Linked DNA regions of Astyanax mexicanus. The protein of the gene in region 1 purifies or fractionates together with the protein of each later gene. This does not show direct contact. Links are inferred from orthologs where the notes say so. Each region holds a gene or a part of one and is shown in the gene's direction. Other genes may lie near its edges. The genes, in order: actr3b and arpc1a.

Region 1 (15,255 bases):
ACATATATTTAAAAAACTTTATTGCACAATTTAGACACAAGTTTAATATCAATTTAAAATATGTTATTATTGAAGCCATTGGAGACATTACAGTATTTAAGCAGCTGTTAATCAGTTTATCACAATTCCCTTAGTTCTCCAGTTAACAAATGCATTCAGCTTAAGCTACAGTGTTAATATATTTAAACGGCTATAGTTACTCATATTGTAAGGAGCAGCAGCAACAGCAGAAGCTGCAGGAGTTCTGTTCTCATGTTTTTCAGGCAGGACAGAGTGAGGATGCGTCCAAAAACTTTTGCTACTCCTCCTCTCCTACCCCCGAAGAAGGTGGAGGAATCGAGGAGAGGAGAGAAGGAGGAGGAGGAATAGAGGGAAGGAGAGGAGGAGGAGGAATGGAGGGAAGGAGCTGTAATTGGGAAATGGGACAGCTGATCCCTTTTGGATAGGATGTTGACTACCGATGAACTGAGCCAATCACAACGCTCACTTTCAGCACATGCCAGATACTGCCAAGCCAATCACAGCTTCTGGATAGAGCTCCACATACAAAAATAAAAATGAGAAATCAATAAACCCAATTCCAAATTCTAGAGATTATAACTTTAACAAGCATATCAAGCTTTAAAGTACAGCCCGATTAGCCATTAATAAAGGTTGCATATGTTATTTTTTTAATTATTTTAATAGTGAAATATAATTTCATTGAATGTAATAAAACAAATAAATATTAATAAATACAATAATAAATATTATATTTTGCATTCATGTTGAAGTGAAAAAAATATTAGTTTAAACAACATCAATGGAGCATTACTATCACACACAGCTAAATATTCAGATATTCCAATAAAATCACGCTTACTCCCAGGAATTTACTCCCAGGAATTCCCAGGAACATTTCTCCGGCCAGTGAAGCTGACAGCCCTGTCTGACCTCAGCCTTATGAGGGTTTCAGTTTCCTCATTGGTCCCCAAGTAAAAAAAAAAAAATAAATAATAATAATAATAATAATAATAACTAAAAATATATATATGTAAAATATACAAAATAAATAATAAAAAAAATACCGGAACAGTCATGTACAAAATAATAGAACAATTAGAGCCTTAACAAACTGAACTCTATCCTACTATAACAGTTAAACATGAAAAATAAGACTTTAAGACTTTTTCAGTCTCTGAGAATGAGAAGTTCTTTTTTCTTTAATAAAGATATATTATTAACTTTATCTGAGAGAAAGATGCTCCTTAAGGTACCAAAACTATTAACATATTTGAGGCTAGACAAAACAACTGTTATTTTTATATTTTCAAGTTTTTCTTCAAGAAGATGAGAATGTCCACATGTCTCTGGAGAAAGGGCTGCTCTTTGAACAATCACAATGTCAGCGGCATTGGCTACAGTGTGCTGCGCTATTTGCTGCGTTGCTTAGAGGGAGGAATCGTCGATCCTCTTTTTGACTTCGACGCTCGAGACCATGACATAATTTCGATCAATTCCGATAAAATATTGTGACACCCCTAGTATATATACTAGGGTCACTGAGGAGAGGAGGAGGATCGGTAGGAAAAAGTGGACACTTTTAGGGTTTCTGGACTGAGACTGAGCTGATATGCTGTTACTCTGCTTCGTTGCTGGCGCTGTTCTACACAGTGCTCCCCTCTGGTATACCATATGAACCGGAATACCGCCCAGCACTACTTCAGATTAGATCAAGAACAGTATAGTAGAGTAGAGTGTAGAGAGGGTTCCCCTGGTGTCATATAGGGCCATTTGTTCAAAAAATGTAATCCGGATCAAAATTATCCAGATTTGGAAATCACATTTTTTGCTATCCAGGATCAGGTGATCTGTCTTACTTTTAAGACAGTTTTTCAAAGCAATATTGGATTGGATCAACCTGATCCAGAAACACAGTTTTCAGGATTACCTAATCCGGATTACCAGCTATGTAAAAAACAGATAGAAGAACCAACAGGGGTTGATGACTCCTTTTCTTGCCGTAACAAGATACTGCTTATTGCAAAACAATACGAGCAATTGAGCGTTTAAATGGAGTTCTGCAGAGACGCTTTGCATGACTTAACTATTTGCGAGTCGAACCACAGGGAGCATGCAACATAACACTTGCATGTATTGTCCTGCACAATGTTGCTACCAGACGCAATGTCCCTCTCTGTGATGTTCATGATGCACCTGAGCCTGTTGAAGAACCAGAACAAACTCTGGTGTTCTTTGCAATTGTTCGAAATTATTTTTGACAGCTTCATATCTGATAAATGTTTCTTTGACATTAATATACAGTGATGAATGACAGTGACGTAGATGAAAAAATGAATATATTATTTTTGTTTGTTATTGAAATCTTTTGGGGGGTTTATTTAATGGGGTCAAGATTGTTTTTATTTTTATTTTACTATAGAAAAAGGCTTAATTGGTAGCCAGTGTCTACTTTATCACTGTAACAGTTAAACAGGTCAAGTGCAAAATAGAAGTAAATGTATGTACACTAAATTGTACAAATGTATTTTTTTTACTTTAAAACTTTGATTTTAAAGTTTTACCACATTTTCTTCATGAAATCCACTTTGAAATCCTACCCCTTGTTGGGATCAGGGTAATCCTGTTTTTTTGGATCAAAGTTATCCAAATCCTACTGGAAAGTTTTGAACAACAGAAACTGAAGGTTTGATCCATTTTCAAACTAGGACTGGATTACGTGATCTGATCCGATTTCTGATTGGCCACTGACTTTGTTTATTTGAGTTTATTATAATATAATACAGTGTTTTACAGAAACAGCACAGTCATTTTTGTAATTTTTCATCAATAAACTGAACGCCTCCTTCTGTGACATGAAACGTACATCTTTTCACGCCTTTAGTCCGTACAGTGCTGCACGCTACTGAGAAAACTTGTTTCTGGTCCACTGCCTCCAGACTCTGCTCTGATTTTGAGAACACCAGTCTGTGAGTCAGTATCTTTTGCCATGTTCTGCAGAGATAGGGCTTGTCGAAGTCCATAACGTTCTTCTTCCAGGAAGGCGTAGAGCCGCTCGCTTCTGACGACCCGTGTGCTGCAGAAGAGTAGTTCCTCATAACAGCGTGAGCTGTGGCGAACACCACGATGCCGTAGTCTCTCCGGAGTTTATTCAGCAGCTCGGCGCATTTCCTCAGGTTGGACTCCTGCCGAGCCAAACTCTCGCCCCCGCTGCTGCGGTCCATCCAGTAGAAGGCGGAGATGCTGTCTATGACAAGCAGGCAGAGAGAGGGCCGGCTGCAGATGGTGCCCTCCAGGTAGTGCAGCGTGAGGAGCAGCTGGACCGAGCTGGAGCAGTGGATGACGGAGAGCTGCCGCAGGCAGCAATGGACTGCCTCCTCCGTCTCTCTCTCGGAGCCGTCGGCGTTCTCATCCGCCGCCCCGGTCAACCGGGTCTCCAGTATGCTCACCAGCCGCAGCATGTCGAAGTGGTAATCTGTGTCTACGAAGACCACCTCCACTTCCAGCCCCCCGCTGTCCTTGGGGAGGATACAGTGGGTCAGTAGGTGGTACAGCATCTCAGTCTTCCCACTGCCTTCAACTCCGTGGAACTCCACAACATCACCTGCATGCAAAAAACAAAGTCAAACAAACAAAGTGTAGCTTTAGTTAGTAATTCAGTGGGAAGTGCTGCTGCAGTATCTGTCATAATAACATAGAGCTCTGATGATGGGCTTCTTTGATTTTACCAAATTGAAAACCTCTATATATACAATCAAGAGGAAGATGGATGATCACAAGCCATCAAACTAATGCAGCAGGAGTGGCATAAAGTTATCCAAAAGCAGTGTGTAAGACTGGTGGAGGAGAACATGATGCCAAGATGCATGAAAACTGTGATTAAAAACCAGGGTTATTACACCAAATATTGATTTCTGAATGCTTAAAACTTGAATATGAATGTGAACTTGTTTTCTTTGCATTATTTGAGGTCTGAAAGCTCTGCATCTTTTTTGTTATTTCAGTCATTTCTCATTTTTTGCAACTTAATGCTCTAAATGACAACAATTTTTTTGGAATTTGGGAAAAATGTTGTCTGTAGTTTATAGAATAAAACAACAACGTTAATTTTACTCAAACATAAACCTATAAATCGCAAAATCAGAGAAACTGATTCAGAAACTGAAGTGGTCTCTTCATTTTTTCCAGAGCTGTACGCAATAATATCGCCAACATTTTTTTATATTATATTTAATATTATTATTTTATTAATATTATATACTATTATACCCTGAAATATAGTGCCATATAACTCACCCCTATTTATCACATCAGGGTACCACCTTTTCGCTGTTTTTAGCAAAAGAAAAATTCACACTGTTCTGATTTCCCATTATACATCTATTAGAGAAAGATTTTATCTGTCCAGTATCATTTATTTTACTTTAATCCTGGATATATGAAGCTATTTCGTGCATTTTAGTGCATTATTATTAGTATCTTGACATTCTGGATCATTGACTTCTGTTACAAATCTGATAAAATTCTTTTTTTTTATTTTTTTTTTTATATCTCAGTTAGGGGTGTGCCATAGCATATTGTATGCAATAATAAAATGTAAATGTAATAAGCGCAGGATACTTTTGGCAATATATAGATTAGTCCAAACTCCCTAAAACGTACTGCCTCATTACTACATATGGTGGCACTACAATCAAATAGATAGGGTAAACCTGTGGTAAAGAATATTGGTTGATTTTCTTATGTGCATAGTGGATACCCCTTCTAATAAATCCATTCAGGTATTTTAGGTTGCACCTCATGTGCAGTATCTTACAGTGTCTGGGGTAAGATATGCACATAAATATATAAAATATAAAGTTAAAGAAGTCAAATTAAGTGAGAAAGAAATAAGAAAAATACATATTACAGATATATATATATATACATACATATATATATATATATATATATATATATCTGTTTTACCTTGAGCTGGACCACCGTCCTCTCGGAAAATATGTTGCTCAATGTCTTTCAGTGATTGTCGACCCTCGATTCTGGCCAATAGCTGTGGAATAAATAAATCCCTTAATTAAACTGCAGCACACAAGTGGTAATCAAGGGTCAAAGGTTGTGGAGACACTCATGGATGTTAAAGATATGCAAAAAAAAAAAAAAAAAAAAAGTCATGGGACAGCCGTATGTTATTTGAACTTGAAGTGTTACTTCTGCTGATGGCTTGTGAACACCCACACCTGTAAGAGTGGTGGGGTGCTATCCTGTGAGTGAGGCTGAACAATGTTTATGCAAGGTCAAGTAGTGGGGTATATATATGATAAGTGGGTATTTGAGATTACTTGATTCATAAAGTCATCTGTGTATCAGGGATATGTCACAGAAGGCATTACCACCCACAGTGGACAGTGCAGTGGAAGGTAATGATCATGGCCATTAACCTCTGGCCACAGAAAATAAATTTTGCTATGATCCAAACTCAAAAATAGCAAATAGTACATCCATTTTTGTAAAAGCGATAGACGTTCTTCACATTTTCGGCTTTTTAAAAAAACATAGTCCTTTAAGGAACCAAAGAACAAACCCTGACTACTTTACTTTGTATCAAAGTGTCACATCTTCAGTGTTGATCCATGAAAATATGGATATTTTCATGGGGTATTCATTTTCTTGAGATACTGTAACCACCCAGATATGGAAAAAAGACACTGAAACAACATTGGTCTGGTGTGTGTGTGTTAGAGTGTGTCAAACGTTATAAGTGTGTGTGTGCTTGTGTATGTTAGCATCTGTGTGTGTTTATATGTTAGTGTATGTGTGTGTATACATGTTTGTGTGTGTATATATATATATATATATATAAGAGTGTGTATTAGTGTGCTTGTGTGTTAGTGTCTGTGTATTATTGTGTGCCTGTGAGTTAGTGTGTTTTAGTGTATATGTGTATATGTTATTGTGTGTTTGTGTGCTTGTGTATGTTAGTGTCTGTGTGTATATGTTAGTTTGTGTGTGTGTGTTAGTTAATATGTTGTGTGTATATATGTTAGTGTGTGTGTATGTGTTAGAGTGTGTAGGTAATTGTGAGTGTGTGCATAAGTTAGTGTTAGTGTGTATATATTTAGTGTGTGTATGTTAGTGTCTGTGTATTAGTATGTGTGTGTGTATGTTAGTATGTGTTTTAATGTGTTAATGTGTTTGTGTCTGTGTATTAGTGTATTAATGTGTGTGTATATGTTAGTGTGTGTTAGTAAGTGTGTTAGTATATATATATGCTAGTGTCTGTGAATATATGTTAGTGTGTGTGTAACAATGATTTAGTGTGTAACAGTGTATTAGTTTGTGTTAATGTGTGTCCGTGTATTAGTGTGTGTGTATGTTAGATATTAGTGTGTGTAAGTTATATGTTAGTGTGTGTGTGTGTGTGTGTGTGTATACCTGAGCTCCACTCTCTGCCATCCTCAGCCTCTCGCTCATCCTTCAGCTTCAGCTTTCCCGCACAAACACCGCACTTCTACATCCGGGAACGTAACCCACGACCCGCCAAAATAAAAGTCCAAACCATAGCACCTATTAAAAAAAACACCGGTCATCAAATCCGGATCCAGTATTCATTCCAGGGTTTTATTATCACTGGATATTTAGGAAACTGTACTGTAAGCTGATTGGCTCTGCAGTGTCACACCTACTAATCACCACAAAACCCAGGATTGGATCTTGGAATCTGGATTTAGGATTTTGACCTAAAGCTACACGCAGTACCAGTCAAAAATTTGGACACACCTTAAATTCAGTGTTTTTTTTTTATTGATTTAAAATGTTTTGCATTGTAGATTAATACTAAACTCATCCAAACTATGAAGAAAAACATAAGAAATTATTTTATATGTTTTATATTTATTAAAGTAGCACCTCTTGCTTAGATGACAGCTTTGCACATCTATGCATTTTGTTTGAGAGCATCAGTTGTAAAGTAGTGAAGAGGTAGAGTTACAGGTATACAGTGAATAGTGAATATTTGAGTAATGATCTAATCCAGTATATGAGAAGCAAGAACTACTTAACTAAATAAAGAAAAAATACTTTAAGAAAAATGAATGTTAGTCAATCAAAAAATCAAGAACTTAAAAAAAAACATCCTTAAGTGCAGTCACTGCAAAAAAAACCCTTAAAACATTATGATGATGAAACTGGCACTCATTAGGACCACCCTATGAAAGGAAGAGTGAGAGTTTCCTCTGTTACCAGCATCCAGCATCAGAAACCACACGTTAACAGCTCCCCAGATAAGAGCACCTAAATGCTTCATAGAGTATTTTGGTTTGTTTAACACTTTTAAGTTTCTACATGTTTCTTAATGTAGGAAATATAATGGTTTATTAAAGTAACTTAGGATACATAATAACTACATACACACTGTATGCACCTATATAAGTGATAAATGGCTGTTATTGCTATTTTTAACCCATTTTAGACATTATCCCCATTAAAGCTGAAAATAATTTAAATATTAAAATGTGCAATTTCAGTATTTTACCTGTCACTATGTATTTTTTTTAATAGTGTAACACTGCCCCCTAGTGGAGGATTTAGGGGAATAAAGAAATAAAGAAAATCTTAAACTAATACATACAGAACCCCTGGAATTAAGCTGCACGTTATTATATTATCCCTTTCATATATCCCATAATATACACCTATATATGCATACATACACATACAAAAAAAAGTGTACATGTACACAGGAAAACAACAACAGTGGATTTAACCCATTTAGGCCCCGCATCCATTACAATAGACATATTAATATATTTTCTTTTTTTAGTTTTTTTTTTTTGCATATAACAGTATTTGAGAGCTGTTATCTATCTAAACAGAACTTAAATGTCTATCGAACAAGTTTATAAACCAATAAAACAGTAGTTTGGTCCTGCCCACTGCAAAAACACTGGTAAAAAACAGTAGTACAAGAGCCATTGAGGCAAAGTAACAGCATTTAATGTGATTTAGAACACTTTATTTTCATGGTTTATTTTACTGTTTAGGGTTTATAGCTTATTGAATGAAAAAAAAGGTCAGTACGAAATATTAAATATTACACAGAGGCTTCCAATGCAATGGAAATGGAAAAATATTAAACATTTTAGCTAATTAAATCATGGTTTCTTTTACTGTTTAGTACAGAGCCCCTAAGGTGACATCATGTTAAAAAATAGTGCATGGCCACAAATTATTAAGGAGTGGGAATAAGAACCTAATGCATGGGTACAAGATACAATGAGAAAATTAAGGCCTGGGAACGAGATAAATAAGGCTTACAGCTTATAGGTACATATTTAAGTAAAATGATCATTGTTGTTTTATTCTATAAACTACAGACAACATTTCACCCAAATTCCAAATAAAAATACTGTAATTTAGAGCATTTATTTGCAGAAAATGAGAAATGGCTGAAATAACAAAAAGATGCAGAGCTTTCAGACCTCAAATAATGCAAATAAAACAAGATCATATTCATAAAGTTTTAAGAGTTCAGAAATCAATATTTGGTGGAAACCCCCTGTTTTTTCACAGTTTTCATGCATCTTGGTATCATGTTCTCCTCCACCAGTCTTAAACACTCCTTTTGGATAACTTTATGCCTTTACTCCTGGTGATCTTCCTCTTGATTATATTCCAGAGGTTTTCAATTCGGTAAAATTGATAATAAAAAAATAAAAAAACACATTAATTATAATAGATGTCTTATTTTTTTCCCCCAGAGCTGTACATTTTATAGTAGAATAGAAGAAAAAAACATAATTCTTACATTTTTTATTTCCATAAATGGATATAATTCAGGTGTGAAAGGGTTAATCAGCAGTGCGCATTGTGCGTAACGCAGCGAGGTTCCCTGGCTGCTCCAAATTGCGCACAGCGTATTTTTGGCACCGTATTGGAGAGATGGGCGGATCCAGCATGTTTCTATTTTTTCCCTGCGCCCTTTACTCGGGAAGTGATCCCTCTCTCTCTCTCTCTCTCTCTCTCTCTCTCTCTCTCTTTCCCTCGAATAGAGGGATGAAAGCAGGAGCAGGGCGCGCGAGGCAGCGCTGCTGAGGCAGGGACGGGGCTGCGTCAGAGCGCGTCAGAGCGCGCGGGGCAGGCGGGGGCTGTTGTCACGCTGGTGGGGCTGGCCGGACATGGCAGTGCGCTTACCTCCGTGCGTGATAGACTGCGGGACGGGGTGAGTGAGTGAGTTTGGGCTGTTTATGGCTGTGGAGCTCCTGCTCTCTATCCCTATGCCTCTCTTTCTCTCTCTCTCTCTCTCTCTCTTTCTATCTCTCTTTCTTTCTGCTGAAGCTGCTGGTGTTGGTGGTCTTCGGGGACCCTCTCTAATGTCAGCAGCAGCTGAAGCTGAAGCTGCAGAGCTCCAACACTCTTTACTATGTGCGCAATGTCAACTTCCAGCCTCCCCCAGCCTCCACTGTTCTGTCCTATTTCTTGGCAGAGACAGAAATGGGTCAGCCCTGTTGGTGACCACTCTAAAACCGTGCCAGCTTTTCAATCTCGCTTGTGCTTATGCTGATTTTTTTTACTAACATACAAACAAACACTTAAACTGGCCAACAATTGAGCTTGATCTGGCTCTGGTGTTTTTTTTTTCTATTAAGCCATGCAGAATTACAGGGAAATATTGTAAAAAAATGTACTGGGAAAAAATACTCTATATACAGTACAGTATTGTGCAAATGTTTTATGCACCTGTGGGAATTTCAATAAAGAAAAAGCTTCTTATCTGTGAAATAAGATAAAAACACCAGCATCACAATAATCTCCTAATCTCTCCTCCTCATCTGAGTTTAATAGAGTTACTGTATTTCTAGTTCTCATCATATTAATCAACACCTGGTTTGGTGAATTACTGGTAAATGTGGTAAAACAGGTGAGCTGCTGACGGACTTGAACATAATATACACATGCTGGCTGAGGAGCATCCAGGAGAAATCTGAAATCTCTACACTTTGTTCTTCAGCTTGGCTCACAGGATATAACATTAACGTAGTTAAAAAACTAAAATTCTTGTTACGTTTTACTGTATTTTTGTTTATTTGCATCTCTTAAAATCATATGCGGTGCTTTTATTTTAGGTAAAAACACATGGATTGCTGAGATAAATGAATTAGTGTCATTTGCTTAGGTGCCTAAAACTTTTGCACCTGGACGTTCCAGTAACTTTTTTCTGTAACTATTCTTTGAAAAATTGACTTGTGTGCTTAGGGTCGTTGTCTTGCTGCATAACCCACATTCTTTTTAGTTTCAGTTCATGGACAGATTTTCTGACATTTTTTCCTTTAGAATTCTCTAATACAGCTCTGGAAAAAAATGATTTTACCAAATTGAAAACCTCTGGAATATAATCAAGAGGAAGATGGATGATCACAAACCATCAAACAAAACTGAACTGCTTGAATTTTAGCACCAGGAGTAAAAGCAAAAAGTTATCCAAAAGCAGTGTGTAAGACTGATGGAGGAGAACATGATGCCAAGATGCATTAAAACTGTGATTAAAAACCAGAGTTATTCCACCAAATATTGATTTCTGAACTCTTAAAACTTTATGAAAGCTCTGCTTCTTTTTTGTTATTTCACCTATTTCTCATTTTCTGCAAATAAATGCTATAAATTAAGATATTTTTATTTAAAATTTGGGAGAAATGTTGTCCGTAGTTAATAAAATAAAACAACAATGTTTATTTTACTCAAACATAAACCTATAAATAGCAAAATTAGAGAAACTGATTCAGAAACTGAAGTGGTCTCTTAATATGGAAATCATGGTTCCATAAATTAAGGCAATCCGTCCTGCCCAGATGCAGCAGAACAGGCCCAAACCATGATACTACCACCACCAAGTTTCACAGATGGGATAAGGATATTATGTTATAATTTAGTGTTTTCTTTTCAAAACAAAAGCGTTTTCTTTTGGTCTCATCTCTTTTTTGTATAGTTTTTTTATTGTTTGTATTTATATATTCTTGTACATATCTTGTAATAGTTAAACTTTTCTTACTTCCCCTATTATTGTTGTCTGTGCTTCTGTGTTGTATTCTGTAAGTGCTGGTGGCTGCTAAATTTTCTTTGGGATTAATAAAGTTCCTATCTATCTATCCATCCATCCATCCATCTCATTTGTCCATATTTGTATTAAAATAAAAATGGGAAACGGGTAAGGGTTAACCAACATGACCAAGCATGACCAAACCCAGATTCAGTATATGATAAGCTGGTCAAGAGCCTGTTATCCAGCTAGCTTACCAGTATAGGATATGTCTGCACCTATAAGACCACACTGACCATCAAATACCAGCTTAGACCATTCAAAACCATCTGCCAGCAGAAGCTAATGTTGAGCACCCGTGGGTTTTCCCGCAGGAGTATGACTGCACTCCTCACAGCTGATGATATGATATATTGATATACTGTACAGTGAGTGAGGTCTCATAATGTGCAGAGATTAATGATTTGGCGTAGAGTGAAGACAGAGTCAACTTAGGTCAATAGTCAATTAGCTGATATGTGATGCAGTCTGACATCCTCTAATTTACTCACTGAGAATGATACTGAGGGTATAATAGGGCTATAATAGAATAATGTAATAAAGCTGTAATGTAAAAAGGGCAGTAATTTAATCATATAATCATTTATTTTTTTATAAAAACTGTATGTGGTCTTTTAAATAGAACTGGTGTGATTATATACAGTATCAGTGAATAGCAGGGGTGGAAAAAGTTCTGAAAAATTGTAATTAAGTAAAATTATTATTTTTATTTGATGTAAAAAAGTCAAATCATAAATTAAATCGTTTTTAATGAACTATTATTCCACATAATAATTTGGACCTTTCAGGTAGTATTTTTTTAGACCACCCCATGATCATTAGCTAAGGTATTTAGGTTATATTCGCCTCAATTGCCTGTTAACATCGCGCCGACAGATGCATTTCATACAGATTTCAGCGAATTTAATATACTATTAATTTAGGCATTTATACACGTTAGTCGATTAATAAACATACAGGATAACAAACACCTTTCATCTCCATTAACCTTCAATATTTTTCAGAAAACCTGAAATTTCCGAAATTCTGTCAAAGAATTTGCTTAGGTTGTACAATTTTTAATAAAGGGATTATTGTGCTGGATATTTTACTAAATACAGAAGATTGTATAATCTGTGTAGCTGCATGTGAACTGAGATTACTAGTCTTTATAAAGTAGATCTACAGCTAATCAGTGAATTTAGAATATATAAATAACTAACCACCGCATGCTTTCGCAAGTTTTGATGTGGAAGTTTTGAAAGCTGACAGCTCTGTCTGGCATGGCACATTTTACATTGCATGAGGACGTTACTGCCTCGTTATTCCACGCGCGAGCATCCGTGCTGCGGCGCATTGTGCAATTTTTTTTTTTTTAATTCAGACAATTGTTTTTTTCCCAGCATTTTATTTTTCTCAGTATTTTCTCAGTAACAGGGGGTTTTTCAATGTAGCGAAGTAAACTGCTTGTGTCAAAATGAACTTGAGTACAAGTAAAATTACCTAATTTAAAAACTACTATAAAATTACAAATTACTCATAAAATCAACTCAATTACAGTAATGTGAGTAAATGTAATTTGTTACTTTCCACCTCTGGTGAATAGAGTGCTGGGTTGTTGATCACAGTAAGTTGTGGGATCATTGCTCTGGTACGCTAAGCCGCAACTGTTGGGCCCTTGAGCAAGGCCCCTAACCCTCTACATGAGCGGGATTCGAACCACTATGCCACTATGATTGGGAGATTGCTGGTTCGATTCCTGTTCATGTAGCTTGCCATCAGCTGCCAGAGCCCTGAGAAAGCACAATTGACATTTAATGTATTTATCAAATACCCTTATCCAGTGCGACTTTACCTCGTTGTTTACTTCAAAATATTCATAGCTAGTTTGTAGAGACTAGAATCAAGAGATACACAGAGCTTGATAATGTTTAGAACCCAAGGAGAATTTTTTTTTAAAGATTTACCACTGGACCACTCAGAGTCAGCATACAGTTTTTTAATGTGAAATAACCGTTATTAATTTTGACATGCAGCACTGTATCACTGCTAATGTTATGCTAATGCATTATTGTGTTGTGTTTCAGATACACCAAGATCGGCTATGCAGGAAACACAGAGCCACAGTTTATCATGCCGTCCTGTAAGTACTGTGGTTTTATTACTTTTGCCATGTTCCATGTGAGCTAAAGAACGCTGCTCTGAGCTGTGGGACATGTGTGTGGGGTCTCCTGCTTTGATTGTGGTTGCGATTTTTGAGTTTACACATGGACGCTTTTAGCCAGATGCCACAGGTCACGATCATTACCACTGCACTGCCAACTGTGGGTGGTAATAATGTCTTCTATGATGTACTCCTGACACAAATGTGACATGGACAAATGGATTTCTCAGGTGTGGGAATTCATTGATGAGTTGAATTTGGATTTGTGTTTGAATTGAGATACTGTGTTAGTACTGGACTGTGAAGTTTGGATGCAGAGTTAGGCTGCTATATACCGTATACAGTACAGGCCAAAAGTTTGGACACACCTTCTCTTTTTCAATGCGTTTCTTTATTTTCATGACTGTTTACATTGTAGATTCTCACTGAAGGCATCAAAACTATGAATGAACACATGTGGAGTTTTATGTACTTAACAAAAAATGAGCTGAACCTCCACAGTCACCGGACCTGAACCCAATCCAGATGGTTTGGGGTGAGCTGTAGCACAGAGTGAAGAAGACAAAGGAGCAACAAGTGCTAATAAACACCTCTGGGAACTCCTTCCTTCAAGACTGTTGGAAAACTTTTCATTTCAGGTGTCCACCTCTTGAAGCTCATTGAGAGAATGATGCCAAGAGTGTGCAAAGCAGTAATCAGAGCAAAGGGTGGCTATTTTGAAGAAACTAAAATATAAAACATGTTTTTAGTTATTTCACCTTTTTTTGTTAAGTACATAAAACTCCACGTGTGTTCATTCGTAGTTTTTATGCCTTCAGTGAGAATCTACAATGTAAATAGTCAATAGGCAATATAATGTATATATAGTTTGTATATACAACCCCCCTCCCCATCAACCAAACATGAACAGTTCTGATGCTCCTCTTCTCCAGAATACTAATCTGTTTCACTTGTTTATTTAGGCCCGTTTCTCTCATTACCACTTTGTGAAGTATTGCCAACCTCCTAGAATTGCGGACCAAGCTTTATCTTGTGATTTATCAGTATGTGTACTGATTTCAGCCTGCTTTTTGAAATTCCCACTTTTGGTTTTGCCCCTATGGTTTTGTTAGTTTTGACACTTTGTTCACTTGGATTTTGAGCCTGACTCTGTTTTGGTTGCTTTTTTTTTATTACTTTTTTGAATTTTGATTACTTTTCTCCAATAGCAAAATCACTCTTCGATTTGAATCTAGACCAGATTCTAGCCCAAATGCTTGGCTTAGATCTGGGCTGACTCCCCGGTTGCTGAGTATAATATGGCAAATGCTGGTTAATGATTATACTGTGAGAATTGACGCTTGCTGCTTATTCCAACACACCTGGCTTCTGAGTATAATATGGAAATCGGCACATAGCACTTTTCGACAACTCTCTGTTTGGTGAGTATTAATCACATTTTATCAAATTCTGCATGATTTTCTGATCCTAAGACTTAATATAGTGTATGTACTTGGGTTGTTTTGTGGCATCACAAAAATAGTGAATTATTGTTCCTTTATGAAATAGGAAAATGATACTCCCTCACATAAACATGTGTCCACTTTCATCTCTGTGGTGAGCATCTTTGACCAAAGCAGGAAGCAGGTGAATCACAGTGTTATGGTGCTCTAGTGGGAATGAAGAGATTTCTGGATCAGGGTTTTAATTGAACCATGCCGTAGGGAGGTGCTAATTAAAGCTGTCTTATCCCATATCTTTTATTTCTCCTGCAACCTTCAGGTATGCACTGCGCCTGTCTGTATGAGCTTTATAGAACTGTACATCCAAGCTTACATGAACTCTAACTGCTTCCATTAGTGGCGCTGATATACTCCTGAATATATAAAACCTATGAGAATGTATAAAGACTTTTTTTTTATTAATTTAAAAGTTGTTTGGCCAGTGATAGAATAGTGAGTCTTGGTCCTTTCAAGGTTTTTTCCACCTGCAGCTCTCAGGGAGTTTTTCCTTGCCTCCGCACTCACTGGGGGTTCTGTAT
Region 2 (16,285 bases), on another chromosome or scaffold:
GCTAAGAGAGCACTACAGCCTGCAGGAGCGCAGAGTCTGCCTGCTGCAGACAGAGATAGAGGAGCTGCGCAGCGGCCTGGAAGCTTCAGAGCGCTCCAGGAAGCTGATGGAGCAGGAACTGGTGGACGTTACTGAGCGCCATAATGAGCTCTATTCCCAGGTATACAACACAAACTACAGCAGCACACTATTCACTGATTAAACACATCTTAATGGCTTAACATACAATACAAAATATACACTGCATATTAATCTACAATGCAGAAAAAAGGTAACTTTTGACTGTACAGTATATACACTGCAATCCTAAAGTTAAAGTGGGACAGGAAGTAGTACCAAAGCTAAAGAATGCAGCAGTGACCCATGGGATGTGTATACTGTAAACCCATAAGTTGTTAAACTCAAATGAATTAAGTCTGTTTTACATAAAATTAGATGTTTCTAAACATTACTCAACTATTTTGAGTTAAGTGAACATTTGTGGTCACATATACAACTGTTGAAAAAAAAAACACTTCAGTTTCTGAATCAGTTTCTCTGATTTTGCTATTTATAGGTATATGTTTGAGTAAAATGAATATTGATGTTTTATTCTATAAACTACGGACAACATTTCTCCCAAATTTCAAATAAAAATATTGTCATTAAGAGCATTTCTTTGCAGAAAATGAGAAATGGCTCAAATTCAGACCTCAAATAATGCAAAGTAAACAAGTTCATATTCAGAAATCAATATTTGATTAAATAACCCTGGTTAAATCACAGTTTTCATGCATCTTGGCATGTTCTCCTCCACCAGTCTTACACACAGGTTTTAGATCATTTTATGCCTTTACTCCTGGTGCAAAAATTCAAGCAGTTCAGCTTGATTTGATGGCTTGTGATCATCCATCTTCCTATATGATTATATATAGGTTTTCAATTTGGTAAAATCAAAGAAACTCATCATTTTTAAGTGCTTTCTTTTTTTTCCGGAGCTGTGGATTCAAATGGAGATTTTTGAATGGAACCAACTTATAATTGAGTTTAGGCATACTGGGTGTGTCCCCCATTTTCTGAGTAACTCTCATCATTAGTGTGTAGTAATTCCTGCTGGGCTACCTTAGGTAAACTTGAAGATCATACATTATGGTTAACAGACTGGTCTCTGTGTTGTAGGCTATAAGAACAAGCATCATTTTCTGAGCTGCAGACACAACTCTGTGTTGGCTGTTCTCTCAATACTGTTTACTCTATTGCTCTATTTATGTGAATTAATGATTTTGAGAAAAGTCTATGAGTGAGTCTATGTTAATTTAACTTTTATGTCAGTGTTTATTTTGATTTTTTGTGGCACCCCTTTAATTTAGGCTATAATAATTCTGGCTATAAAAACAACTACAATGTGCATATATTAAGTGAAAATAACTTAATATAATGATTGCAATAAACTTAAACAAGTAAGATAAACCAGTAGTGCAATAGTTACTTTAACTTAAAAAGGTGTCAAGTACTGGCTTTTTGAAAACTTAATACATTTGAGGCAACAAATTACCTCAATTAGATTTAAATTAATAGTGTTTACAGTGTTTGTGGGGTCTTATGCTCTGAATATGGATGTAATTTCTGCAAGAGATGCTTGTCTTCTAGCATGGACAACCTTTATTTTCAATGAGGGTAACCCTCATTGTCAATGTAGCCACGTTTACATAAAAGGGATTGAAAATGAAGTTTGAATTATAAAAACAAGAAAATAATTTAAGATTTAATTAAGAAAGAATAAAATAATTAAAAATAAAAGGAAATGCAAACAGAAACAAAGAGAAAAATAGAAAAATACGTAGAATAATAAATCATAAGCACAGTTAAAGAAATAAAGGACTAAAATAACCACAATTATAAAAAAGTAACTAAAAAATGGAACTAAAATAAATAATAATAATAATAATAATAATAAATAATAACAAAAAACCACACTTATTGACACTTCTTACTGTACATATTTCACATTCTCTCCCACAGAACCAGAGCTTAATTATTATCAAGCGCAAAATGGAAGCAGACTTGACTCAAGTCTCAAACGAGAACGAGGAGCTGATCAGCGAGTTCCGCTCTGCTGATGAAAGAGCCAAGAAGGCCATCACAGATGTGAGTACTGGACTCAGTCTGAGAACTTCTCCACGTTCCTTTAAATACGCAGGAAACAGATCCTTACAAATTCTCTAATGGCTCTTTCATCTCTTCTCCAGGCAACCCGTATGGCGGAGGAACTGCGGCAGGAGCAGGACCACTGCATCCATCTGGAGAAGATAAAGAAGAACAATGAGCTGATGATCAAAGATCTGCAGCTGAAAGTGGAAGAGGCAGAGGAGCTAGCCTTAAAGTCAGGCAAACGTACCATCCAAAAATTAGAAGTCAGGGTGAGTCCTAGATAACACCTGTTTCTGCTTATCAGTTTGTTTTATACATACACTGACTCATACTGACTTACAGTGACTTAAACACACACACAGAGGGAAATATAAAGTATTGGAGGCTTAGGGCCGGTTCTACAGCGCCCCCTACTTTTCAAAAAGGAGACGATCAGAAATAATATTTTTTAGAAAACTCTGCATTAAAAAAAAAAAAAAAAACATCCTTACAGTGTTTTATGATTTCCATAAAACTACCCCCACCAACAGCCCCAGTTCTAGACTGCATTGCTTGGGGGGCAGTAGAATATAATGGGTGGGCATGTTGATAATCATATTTTTAAATCCAGTGCTAATGATACTGGCTAAATTGATGTATTTAGTAAAGTAATACAAATTTAGCATGCATCTTCAACAGAAAACAACACAATATAAGATTTCCCATAATGTATATTTATTGAATGAAACACAAAATACATGCAGAGGGGTATCAAGGTTAAGTCTGTGTTAGGAGAGATTAGCGATTAGCTGCTACTAACCAAGTTAGTAGCTTGCCTAACAGCTAGCTGCTAATACTACAAGTTAAGCAACAAAAGGGTTACATATCAGTAACACTGAGCAACCAATCACCACAGTTTACAAAACATTACCTTGTGGAAGTCAGTTTAAACTGGAAGAAGTGTTTAATTCGCCCATATATATCCCTGCCTCTTATGTTCACACTACAGGACCTTTCATACTGAACCAGAACATCTTTTTTGAATGAACTTCTCCAACAGTTTGCTGATTTTATATGACTCAAAGAGCCAATCAGAAATAAGCACGCAAATATCTTCTCCTTGCACAGCAATATGGGTTTTTGTGATTGGTACAGAGATTTTTTCAGAGCTAATTTAAAAAACAGTCGTTGCTCATTGTGCTTCAACCTACCCAGCAGAACCTCTGGAATTAACAAACTCTATCTTCATCAACCAAAAAGTCTAGTTTAGAGAAACATATGGTTCAGAGTGGAAATGTACACGTCTGACTGCATCCAATAATTATTTCTAACACAAACTGAGCCTTTCTTTTTGCTCTAATCCAGCTGAATCCAACACTAAATAAACAGCTGTCCCCAAACATCTAACAGTTTTTGAATGAGCAAGAGTTCCAATACTGGACCAATTAATGCCTTTGTCTATAAAGTGCCTATAAAACCAAATCAGCCTAAAATGCATCAGTGAAAGCTTTAAAAAATAAAAAACATCAGTAATAAACATTGTTAAATGATTACATACTGGCTCAACTAATTATTAATTGACATTAGTTGAAACATGATTATACAATTCTAAATGTTTTAAAAAAATAAGTTATAAAAAAAATAAGTTTCTTTGATTTTACCAAATTGAAAACCTCTGGAATATAATCAAGAGGAAGATGGATGGCCACAAACCATCAAACAAAACTGAACTGCTTGAACTTTTGCACCAGGAGTGGCATAAAGTTATCCAAAAGCAGTGTGTAAGACTGGTGGAGAAGAACATGCCAAGATGCATAAAAAAAACTGTGATTAAAAACAGGGTTATTCAACCAAACCATATTCACTTTATGAATATGAACTTGTTTTCTTTGCATTATTTGAGGTCTGAAAGCTCTGCATCTTTTTTGTTATTTCAGCCATTTCTTATTTTCTGCAAATAAATGCTCTAAATGAGAATATTTGTATTTGAAATTTGGGAGAAATGTTGTCGTAGTTTATAGAATAAATCAACAATGTTCATTTTACTCAAATATATACCTATAAATAGCAAAACCAGAGAAACTGATTCAGAACTTAAGTGGTCTTTTCCAAAAATGTGTAATGTATAATAATGTCTTAACTAATGTCAATTAATAATTATTTGAGAAAATATGTTGAGACAACCAATAAAAATGTTTATTACTGCTTTTAATTTTTTTTACAGCTTTCACTGCTGCATTTTAGACTGATTTGACTTTAATTAATTAGCTTTTATTAATGTAGACTTATTTTAAACTTGAACGTTTAGCTTTGTGTTGCAGTTGATTAGCAGTATGGATAAAAACTAAGGGTCAGTTTCCTAAACAGTGATTAAGCCTAGTCTTGGGCTACACAGCTTTTTGCATTTCCCATTGAAAGGAACATTTAGTGTAGGTTAGGTTATGGTTAATTCCTGTCTGGAAAATACAGTTTAGTTTAATATGAATTCCTTAATGGTCTTTGGTGCATAATATTTCAAACCCCCACAGCTTAACCCCTTTTTGCTGTGAGCAGGTCAGGGAGTTGGAGAGTGAGCTGGATGTGGAGCAGAAGAGACATGTGGAGACGGTGAAGGTCCTGCGTAAGAACGAGCGCCGCCTGAAGGAGCTGATCTTCCAGACTGAAGAAGACCACAAAACCAACCAGCGCATGCAGGAACTGGTGGAGAAACTGCAGAACAAACTCAAGTCCTACAAGAGGCAGATAGAGGAAGCTGTGAGTGCATACCTGTGTTTTGCGCTTTAGTGTACATGTATCATACATGCAGATGTGGAACATGTGAACATAAATATGTGTTGTACTGTACTGAAATGTAAATGTAAATACCAGGAAGGTCCTGGTTGTGCAATAGCAGTGCTACTCTAATCATGAATTTACCTCAGCAGAGCTTTTCTAATCATGAATTTAACTCAGCAGAGCTTTTCTAATCATGAATTTACCCTAGCAGAGTTTCTAATCATGAATTTACCTCTGCAGTGCTTTTCTATTCATTAATTTACCTCAGCAGAGCTGTTCTTATCATGAATTGTGCTACTCTAATTTTGAATTTACATCGGCAGTGGTATTTAAATCATGAATTTACCTCTGCAATGCTATTCTAATCATGCATTTACCTCAGCAGTGCTATTCTAATCATGCATATACCTTAGCAGCCCTACTCTTATCATGAATTTACCACAGCAGTGGTGTTCTATTCATTGATTTACCTTGGCAGTGTTATTCAAATCATGAATTTAATTCAGCAGTGCTATTCTTTTCAATAAGTTACCTCATCAGTGCTATTAAAATCATGAATTTACCACTGCAGAGCTGTTCAAATTATTAATTTGCCCCAACAGTGATATTTAACTCATAAATTTACCTCAGCAGAGCTACTTTAATCATGAATTTGTCAGCAGTGCAATTCTCATTATGAATTTACCTCACAAGTACCAAAAGTCAGTTTGAAAAGGGAGCTTTTTACATCTGGAACAAATGCTGCTAAATTGACAGAGAGTCGATACTTCTCTCGATACTTCTCTCTTTTTACCACTAAAAAGAGGTTTTGTAAAAATCCTCCTGCTGTAAATTGTATTTTTTGCCTGGTTGCAGGAGGAGCAAGCCAACACAAGTCTGTCTAAGTACAGGAAGACCGTGCATGAGCTGGATGATGCTGAGGAGAGAGCGGGCAATGCTGAGATGGCTCTGAACAAACTCCGAACCAGGAATCGTGCTTCAGTGACCAAGGGCTTTACTAACGTAGAGATCGTGCAGATCTCTAAAACCTCCAAGAGTTCCTCAGAGGAGTAAGAGTTCTGACCCATGCAGGAGGTTAGCATCAGTGATAATAGAGTTTATTTCTATTTTATTTTCCTCTGCTTGTAAAAATGTACTCTCACATTGTGCTGAAATAGTTTTGGAACTGCTAATTTATAGTAAATCACTTCCAATATGTAATTAAAATGATGTTAAGTTCTTAATATATACGTATATACATACATATATGTGAATACACTGGTCATATGTTATTTTAACCACTTATAATACATTTTAACTATTTTTTTGTTTATCTGCCCAAATGAACAATAAATATACTTTAAAAGTGTACATAAAACATTATTTTACAGCAAATACTGTGCTCATTAATAGCATACTTAATATATTATGATGTGAAATATTGGAATATAATTACGATATTTATGCAATTATTCTGAACTTTTACATGTCTTGTTTTAGTATAGTAAAGTATATACTTTGAGTATATACTTCACTTTAGGGCACTTAAATGCATTTTTAGTGAAGTACAACTTATAAACTAATATGTATGAGTCATATTCTTGCAAATATTTGTAATATTATTTATTGACACTGACATAAAAACCATGAAACGAAAATTGATTAAAAAATAGCTAATTTAAGTACATAAATATATCTAACTATAACTAGTACCAAATTAGGTTAGACGAATAAAGCCTAATTTTTCAAGGGTAAAGTTTAAAAATAAAAAATAAATATAATTCTGCGCATCATTTAATGTTGATCAATCAATTTGTTCTCACTTTCAATACATTGAGGGTGACTCCCATTTACAATGTTGCTGAGCATTGTACAGCAGGAAGGATTTATAATAGTAAGAATGAATTCAAGATTTAAATGTATAGCAGGGAAAATAAAACAAGACATAAAAATATACATAGAAGTAAATCTATAAAACAGTAAAAATCTATAATAATTTAATATTAAGGGTAAATAAAATAACTAAAAAGTGTAAATAACAAAATAATAATAACCCTGTATAAATAAGACTATTATTAGACTATTAAATATACATTTTTACAAAGGTCCAAATTAAATCAGCTGTTTTGAACTGTCTAGATTTAAGTAGTTTTGACACTTTGTGATATAACACTCATTTATGCTTTTTCTCTCCTCAGAGTGACGGACAGACCAGCACTCATTCCCCACTGGAAGACCTTCTACACAGCGGACGAGATTAGAGAGATTCACCGAAGTCTTAAAGCTAAACTGAAAAGTCTTAACTAGTGTGTGTGTGCGTGTGTGTGTGTGTGTGTTGTACTGTGTGTTAGATGAATGTGATGGGTTTGATCTGAAGCTGTGTAGAAATGGTCTTCAGTAATGGGGTCTGATTGGGGGAAGCTGCACTCTCATGTCAACGATAGAGGGTACACCTGTGTTTGTCACTCTCCTGTCATGAGAAAAAATTATCAAAATAAACTTTAAGCAAGGATTACTGTGTGTTCTTCAGTTATTAAGAAATCGAAAGTATTTGTGTTATACAGTATATCCCTTTTTTCATTTCTGGTTGGTGGACTATTCTCAGTCCAGCTGTGACTTTAAGTGGTTTAAAAAACTCCAGCAGCACTGCTGTATGTGATCTGACATTATTTTATTTATGTATGATTTATTATTATTTTGTAAGCTGAAATGAAAGAAGATTGTTTAGCCATATGTTTAGTAATACTAAGGCTATTTATTAGCTAAAAGTTAATTTGCTACATACATAAAAAATACTAATATGTATAATGAAGTAATAGGGAACAAATATAAAATATAAAGAGCAAAAGTTAAATATTGTAAATGTTTTTAAAATAATTGTATTTTTAATGATGTACATTATGCCACAATCCTACAACCTAAAGCCCCATAGCCACAACATCTTAACTTCAGTGGATAATTCCAGTGTTCTCTTTTTAGAAACCTAATATGGTCACCAACAAGGGCACAGTTTCTGGAACATCTGCTTAATTCTGCTTGATTGTTCTAAAATCAGGGGTCTTAAAAAGAGTTTATCATGCTTTTGTTGGAGTAACTGTCTCTACTATCCAGGGGTGCTTTCTGCTTGAGGTTGCTGTGAAGATTTGATTGCATGCAGTGACAAAAGCATTAGTTAGGTCAGGATGTTGAATTATCACCCCACCTCATCCCATTAACATTAGAGCTCCATCATTCCAGAGAACACAGTTCCACTGCTCCACAGCTCAATCCTAGTGGGATTATACCCCTCTAGCCCTGGCCTAGCATTAGACATGGTACCAATAGTCTCATGTAGATTCCTTTTCTTTTGGCAGTAGTCCTCTACAGACCATAAGCTGAAAGAAAGTTTATAAAGAAGTAGCAGGCTTTCTTATGGTATAAGATTTATTACCAAGCAGAAATAATCTACCAAACACATTTTTGGTTTATGTTTGTGCTTTCTGCTTGAGGTTGCTGTAAGGATTTGATTTAATTGAGTGACAAAATCATTAAAGAAGTCAGGATGTTGATTTATCACCCCACCTCATCCCATTAATATTAGATGGAGCTCCATCCTTCCAGAGAACACAGTTCCACTGTTCCACAGGTCAATACTAGTGGGATTATACCCCTCTAGCCCTGGCCTAGCATTAGACATGGTACCAATAGGCTTAAGTCATTTTCTTTTGTCAGTACTTCTCTACAGGGACTGGATATGTTGGGTGTGAGAATGTTTTTACTTATTTTACAGAATTTACAAAAGAAAAAACTGCAGGCTTTGCCACATTTCAGTGCGATTTTTTTTTTATTATCAAGCACAATCTTCTTGGGACGCCCACTTCGTGGCCTGTCTTTGATATCCCCTGTTATATGGAACTTGGCCTTTAATTCGGAAATGGTACTAGGGCTGACTACAAATAATACAGAAACTTGGATTTGTGGGACAACAGCTTGAAATTGCCCTATCGCACAGGCTCTTTCCAGATCAGTTAAACGTGGCATGATGCTGATTCCTGGAGCCGACACCTATTGACCACTGTAGCAGAACCTATGCTCACTGGTGCTGCCAATCAGGTCGCAATCAGGAGGCACCTGGGGTACCATAGGTTCAAAGGATTTTATCAAGGCTTTCTCATGGTATACGATTTATTACTAAGCAAAAATAATCTACCAAAACACATTTTTTTTTATGTTTGTGCTATGTTTTTTTTTTTTTTAAGTACAGTAGTGAAATGGTTCTACTTTATTACCATACATCTCTGACTCTCTCTAACCTGTAATATTTCCCTTGCGGGCATCAGGGAGTATTAATATGATGTAGACATCTGTGTAATGTGAACCTAGCCCTAAGCCCTACCCAGATGTGATTAGTTTCCCGGGGGACATCTGTGAAAAATATTTCACACTTCTACTCAGTGATAAAACTGTTCAGTAGCTCCTCCATTTCCACTCGCTGCTGTGTTTCTCTGTGTAAACGGCTGCTGTGGATCTCTGTGGAAACTCGTGCCAAAAGTGTAATGATGGTACGTGTCAGTGGACAAATAGCTATTTTATTAAACTACATTTTAACGTTTTTTTTTATATCAAACACTGAATAAAAGCCTAGTCCAGATTTTCCACTATATTGAATGGCACTGCTTTTCCCTCCCTTTCGCTCGTCCCCGGCGTTTGCTGTGCGTACGCATGCGCAGTGCGGCGCGTCTGTCCAGAGTGTCGTTGCCATTTCCCGGATTCCTGGGCAGGCCGAGTTCAAGCGGAGCAGCCGGAGTGGATTCGTGTCGACTGGCCAGAGTCCGCGAATTCAAGTCCGTCCGAAAAGGCGAAGCAGCGGCGCGGCGTCTGCGGATATCTCACCTCCGCAACAACCATCCAGGTATCGGGGGTATCTAGCTGCTGTCGGTTTTCTGTGGCGGAGCGGCGCAGGCCTCGGGCCCGGCTGTGGGTGTGCGGGAGCAGGCAGGAGTGAGCGGGGATGAGCCGGCATATCGGAGGGGTTTGGCCGGTGTACTGTCAATTTGTGCAACCGTGTCGAAACGGGCTACCGTGGTGTACTGTGCTTATTTGTAACGCCTCGCTAATTTTCTGATTATTCTTAAATAAAACATAATCTTTAGATTATTAAAGAAACATCCATCTATGATCAAGAAACACGTTAAAACGTTTACAGTTCTCGGTCTGCGCATGTGCAGAACGTTGACGTTACATATATTAACGGGTAGCACAACTCGACAGAACACCGGTCTGCTGACCACAGAGCGAGGCCCACCCATCTTTATGGTGAAAATTAGCGCCGGGAAATGGGTGTTATTTCGCTTAAAACACGATTAAGGAGGTTTTATTCAAGACAAATGTTTACTTTGTCCTATTTTAACGATTCTAATGAGGTTTAGCTGTGGGTTTCCATATCTAGAGCATTGATACTGGCTTGGTACTGATGGAAATCTTCACTCCAGGTCCGGAACGTAAAAATCCAACCCCAGGATTTGTTCCAACTGCCAGGGCGGCACAGCTGCAGCTGAGGCGCCCTGACAGTTGGAACGAAATCCTGGGAGGGGAGTTTTACCTTCCGGACCTGGAGTCAACACTTCTAGATATAGCCCTGCTTGTAACAATTAGCCGCATAGCTAGCTTAGCTAGATACTACGTTAGCTTAGCTCCAGCAGTAGAAGCTGATATTGATCCACGCCCTGAAACCAAGAAGTGGACATTTACTGAAGTTATTCTGGTTCTGCAGGTTTTGTGAGAAACCTTAGCTTCGTCTAAAAACATCCAGTTGAGTATTGAGAAGCTCTGGTGAGGGACTGAAAGCGATTTAGGCCCTCAGTGACTGACTCTGCTGTTCCTTTTGCTGCCATTAATGCTATCTAACTAACCTAAGCTTGCTAACTAGCTACCTGTATAACTAGATATGTAGGTTGGTTGGACTGCAGTTTGGTTTTCTGACTGTTTGAGGATAAATTTGTAAATATATATTATTAAAAAAGGTTATGTCAGATTTTCCATTTAGTATATTAAAGAAGAAATGGGTTTCCATCATTTTTTGAAGTGTTGTTCTAGTATTTTTTATCATTATTTCCGCCCTCACAATCTAAATTACATGATTTTCTGATTTTTGATCCATTTTTGCATCTTGATGGTATAATATGAAAACCTGATGGCATAATTTTAGTAAAGTGAATCTCAAATTGTGAGGGGTTACAAAAATGGGTCAGTGTAACATATAGTAAGCCTTTAATTGATTATCTGATTCCTGCATCTTGTAACAAAAATCTGATGATATAATTCATCCTACTTTTGTTGCAAGGTAAAAAAATAAGTAAATAAGAATTTAAATTGTAAAGGGCGGAAATTGAAAATGAAAAATTATATAAAAAAAAAATATATATATATATATTATTATTTTGTTTTACCCTGTGGAATAATAAAAAATATTTTATAGTTTTTTTTTCAGCCAGTCACAATGGGGAAAAAATGGGGGAAAAAATCAATTATCTGATTGCTCCGTTTTTGTGTTTTTAACAAAAGTGGGTTGGATTATACTATCAGATTATACCATCATATTTTTTCCCTGAAATTTTGATTGTTAGGGTCAGAAATTGAAAATGAAAAATAATATATATATGTAATAATATGTAAAACATGTAGCTGTCGGTTCAAGTTTCTAACCGTTTTAGTGCTATTGTTAATATATACAATTATATTATAAACAATAACATTTTTAATTTTCGCATGGTTTGATGGTTATTTTATTTTTGTCATCATTTGGTACAATTATAAATACAGTTGTAACAAGAAATCCAATTTCCTCTTCAATATATAATCATAATTTATATTGAATTTAGTCATAAATGATCATTAAAGTTAACTGATAAGCATTAAACTGACCCCATTTACTCTCTGGTTTATTTTGGTGCCAAAATAATATTATAAAATTGATTTTCTGCCGTATATATTGAGATATTAAAAGACAGGCAGGTTAATGATCCAACATGTCATGCTATTAATATTATTGCAAAGTGGCTTTACAGATATCCAAAAGTAAGAACAAATAATAAGCAAGTCAGATTTGACAGTCACAGTAATGAGAAGGAAGAAAATTTGGGAGGAATCAAGACAAATTTATAACTGCTTGTACATTTTTGATAAAAGTCTTTGTACCACCTCATACCATTTTTTGCTATGCTGAAGCTATAGGCATAGTAGTGATGGTAGGAATACTGAAATTATTGATGGGTACTGGTGGAAATAATACTTATAATAGCAGTAATTAGAAGAAGAAACTTTACATTCTTACAGTGCTAGTCCTTCATTAACATTCAGGTTATAGATGGAAACTGTACAACATAAGCTAAAGACTAGAGACATCATTAAAAGTAAAGACATGATTAAACACTTTATACATAAATCAGTAGCTATATGTGCATGTATGTAATAAAATAAAATGTAATGTGTATGTACAGTTTGGTATGTCATCGAAAAAATAAAACACTGAATGACTCAAGCAGCAAAAAAGGTGTACTAAGAAAGGTTTGACTGAATTTGCCTCCAGTCCTAAAACCCTATATTGAGAAGCCCTAGTTGGCTTCCTATTTAATTATGGCTATGAGGTAATGCACTAAAGAATTTCATTCTGTTAACACTATGGTATGTAACTAAGGCATGTTTCTTTATTCAGGGCTGCAAAAAAAAAGAAATACAAGAAAATGTCACTCCACCAGTTTCTCTTGGAACCCATCACATGCCATGCATGGAACCGGGACAGGACTCGTAAGTAGCCAACTCATTAATCATCTCCCAGAGTGTTGAACATGGCCTGGCATTTACACTGTAATGTTGAGAAATTATTCATTCTGCTTGTCTTTCTCAGAAATTGCTATCAGTCCAAACAATCACGAGGTTCATATATACAAGAAGAGTGGAAATCAGTGGGTGAAAGCTCACGAGTTAAAAGAACACAATGGGCACATCACAGGTAAGCGCCTCTCTGATTAGGCTTTCTTGCAGTGATGTGAAAACGAATTGAATCCTTAGTAAGAAAGACAGTTGTCAAAAAAAAAAATGTCAACATCCAATAGCAGAGCTAAGAGAAGCCGCAAGGTAAACGCAGGAGCGTTTTTCAGAACTGGACATAGATAAGACTCCAGCGAGGTTTTGGAAACCTAAGTTCTTCTGGAGTGTACAGAAAGGAGGAGAAACTGGTGGAGCTGTGGAGTGAGCAAGAGTGTCTCTTTGACTTGTCTTCCCATTTATACCAAGACAAAGTGGAAAAGTATACATTAATAAATGTAAAATAATCTCAGAAAGAATCTAGTTGCAGTCTTGCAAAATAATGTCCCTGCAAGATCCCCATTCTTTGCAAAATCTTAGTCTCTGACTAAAAAGTCTGTGATTTGTCTTTAGGTGTGAGAGGGTGTCAGACTTTAATCTATTAAAAGTCTTTTTAATTCATCTAGTGTATGGTTAGCTTTATTTGGATTGTTTTAGTTTTTTTTCAATCCAAATAAGGCTATCTATTTCATTTGTTTTGTACATTCTCATTTTTGATCAAACTTGCATCCTGACAGTAATTAGTCACCAAAGTTTGAGCTAATTTATTGTATTTAGTTCACATTGGCATATAATCACATTCACAACAGCAGTAAACGATTGGTTCAACACAGTGCACAATGCAGACAGTTTCATCTCACGTCTTACTCTGCTCACTTGGAACCACTTGCAGGCAGGTACTAAAAAGGAACCAAGTACCAGGTACCAAGCTTGATTAATTTAAGGTGTTTAGCACATACATGCACTCTGAGACTAAATATGGCAGATAATAGTGGCCAAAAACCTTTGTCCAAAGAATTATGTGAAGCAACATCTGCCTGGAAATACAATGATATGAATCTGAATGGGACTAAAATAATTAGATAGTCACTGAGATTAGTGCAAAAAAAAGTAGGTATTAACACATCCTGTCCTTTCCTCAAACAAGACAAGTTTAATCCAGGTGGGAATAAAACATCAGAAAGCTCAGTAAAGCTTTTAGCTTTTGTTTATATTTATATTTTATTAAAATAAGCAGTTTGATCTGAAACATTTAAATGTAGCAAATATGCAAAAATAGAAGAAATTAGGAAGGTGATATTTTTTTTTTTACAGCACTGTAGTGTGTCCCATCATTACATTTGACAAAACATGACCCTAGACTTGATGTGAGCTCATCATTGTTGCACAACTGTTTTAGGCATTGACTGGGCTCCTAAAAGCGATCGGATTGTAACCTGCGGAGCGGATCGCAATGCTTACGTGTGGAGCCAGAAGGACGGCGTTTGGAAGCCCACTCTTGTCATCCTCAGGATCAACCGTGCTGCCACGTTTGTGAAGTGGTCTCCACTGGAGAATAAGTTTGCAGTGGGCAGTGGAGCTCGCCTCATATCTGTTTGCTACTTTGAGTCTGAAAATGACTGGTGAGTCTGAATTGGAGCTTCTAGTGAACGTTTTAGGAGCCTTCAGTTTAAAACAGATCACATTGCAGCTGTTCTGTGCATAAATATGCTTTCTATGTTTTTTAAAAAGGTGGGTTAGCAAACACATCAAGAAGCCTATCCGCTCCACTGTCCTCAGTCTTGACTGGCATCCAAACAATGTACTTCTGGCAGCTGGGTCATGTGACTTTAAATGCAGGTAAGTTTGAGTCTCACGGTTACCTGGAATTTTCATTGAGAGTCCGCTATTCCCGTTATGGGCACGTGACTACTCGCAATCATATCACTCCTGTGTAAAGTCTAGGTTCTCCTTATAGCTTCACAGAAAAAAAAGAAAAAAAAAAGTATTATAAGCAGAGACCTTATTAGTGAGGATGTATGAATGGGATTTCTTGTAATGCTAAAAATTGCTCCTGTTTATGGAAAAAGTCTTGCCCTTAACAAAAAGAGCCAATCAGCTGCTTCTTGTGTGTAGACTGTAGGAGTGTCAGCATGCTGGTAGGAAAGCCCCTGTCCCGTCCCCCCATTCAAACAGACATAAGTGCCCGGCCAAGTGAACTGACATTTTTATAACAACTTTTTAAGAAGTTTTAGAGTATGTCAAATAATAAAAAAGTGGCATAATCAGAGATACAAGGTTTTTGTGTTGCCCCAGCGCTCACTGAGGGTTCAGTGTTTTCTGATTCTTTGTCCTGTAAAGCTGCTTTATGACATCAGTTGTAAAATGTGCTATACAAATAAATTTGATTTTGATTTGTTACAGTGACAATAACAATATTTGTTTTACTCTATATTTCCAAATGGTTGTGGACACTCCTTTAAAAAATGTTAGTTACACCAATTGCTGATACAGATGTACAAATGCACACTGTGTGTTTAGTCCCTGTAGAGAAGCCAACAGAATAAGACTGTCTGGAGCAAATAAACACAAAGCTATTGGTACCATGTCAAATGCCACACATGGACTAAAGGTTATCCAATCAGGTGGTGATCATCCATCGTCCTATAATCTAAGAGAAACATCCCCAGAAAATTAGAGACAGTTACTTCATCAAAAACTGCATAAAGTCTTTTAATACCTTTTGATTTCGAACAAAACCATGAAAGATCTTTGGCATCTATTTCAGACAATGCCATGTTTATTTGAACAGGCTGCTGTTGCTTTTCAGAACAGTGATGGACTTTTGTCTGTGTCCTTATAGTCATGTGACATCTATCTCTTTCGCAGGGTATTTTCTGCATACATCAAGGAGGTGGATGAAAAGCCAGCTCCAACTCCATGGGGGTCCAAGATGCCGTTTGGGCAGGTGATGGCAGAGTTTGGTGGGGCAGGCAGTGGAGGATGGGTCCACAGTGTCTGTTTCTCTGCCAGTGGGAACAGACTGGCCTGGGTCAGCCATGACAGCACTGTGACTGTGGTGGACCCCACAAAAAGCTCAACGTGAGAATCTTAATATGATTGCATTTTTTTATGTTTTCAGAAAACATTGTGTGTTTTCAGATTTGTTTTGTTGGCCCTTTTTTCTGAAAGACTGCTTCCTTTTGTTTGCAGGCCAAGCCCACTGAAAACAGAATTCCTTGCTCTTCTGAGCGTCACCTTCGTTTCTGAGAACAACATTGTGGCAGCGGTAAGGGCAGGTTACAGTTTACAGCACAGGTTCAGGTTTTATTGTCATTTTTGTCTCAGGATTCAGTTTTAAAGTGGTGTTTTTCCTCTGAAGGGTCATGACTGCTGCCCAATGCTGTTCAGCTTTGATGATGGTGGAACCTTGACCTTCATATCCAAGTTGGACATTCCAAAGCAGAGCATCCAGCGCAACATCTCTGCCATGGAGCGCTTCCGCAACATGGACAAGAGAGCCACCACTGAGGACCGCAATAGCACTCTGGAAACCCTTCACCAGAACAGCATCACGTAAGTCTCATGCCCTGGTCGT

Evidence for each region.
Region 2: the proteins of actr3b (region 1) and arpc1a purify together in Homo sapiens (affinity purification with mass spectrometry; 5 studies listed by BioGRID and IntAct, counting the BioPlex papers as one, with this or other methods). This does not show direct contact. The link is inferred for Astyanax mexicanus from reciprocal best matches to the Homo sapiens genes ACTR3B and ARPC1A.

The regions. Positions count from the first base shown.
Region 1 is NC_064413.1:52,126,470-52,141,724, forward strand, and holds the start of actr3b (actin-related protein 3B), read left to right. Parts: upstream 1-9,028; 5' UTR 9,029-9,173; coding exon 9,174-9,217; intron 9,218-13,158; coding exon 13,159-13,214; intron 13,215-15,255. Other genes in the region: DNA repair protein XRCC2, read right to left, coding at 2,808-3,604, 4,969-5,050, 6,433-6,471. UniProt on the Homo sapiens protein: Plays a role in the organization of the actin cytoskeleton.
Region 2 is NC_064410.1:54,813,911-54,830,195, forward strand, and holds the start of arpc1a (actin-related protein 2/3 complex subunit 1A), read left to right. Parts: upstream 1-9,583; 5' UTR 9,584-9,754; intron 9,755-12,556; 5' UTR 12,557-12,584; coding exon 12,585-12,648; intron 12,649-12,748; coding exon 12,749-12,853; intron 12,854-14,107; coding exon 14,108-14,330; intron 14,331-14,439; coding exon 14,440-14,547; intron 14,548-15,576; coding exon 15,577-15,789; intron 15,790-15,900; coding exon 15,901-15,976; intron 15,977-16,069; coding exon 16,070-16,263; intron 16,264-16,285. Other genes in the region: myosin-16-like, read left to right, coding at 1-160, 2,002-2,127, 2,229-2,399, 4,663-4,863, 5,740-5,937. UniProt on the Homo sapiens protein: Probably functions as a component of the Arp2/3 complex which is involved in regulation of actin polymerization and together with an activating nucleation-promoting factor (NPF) mediates the formation of branched actin networks.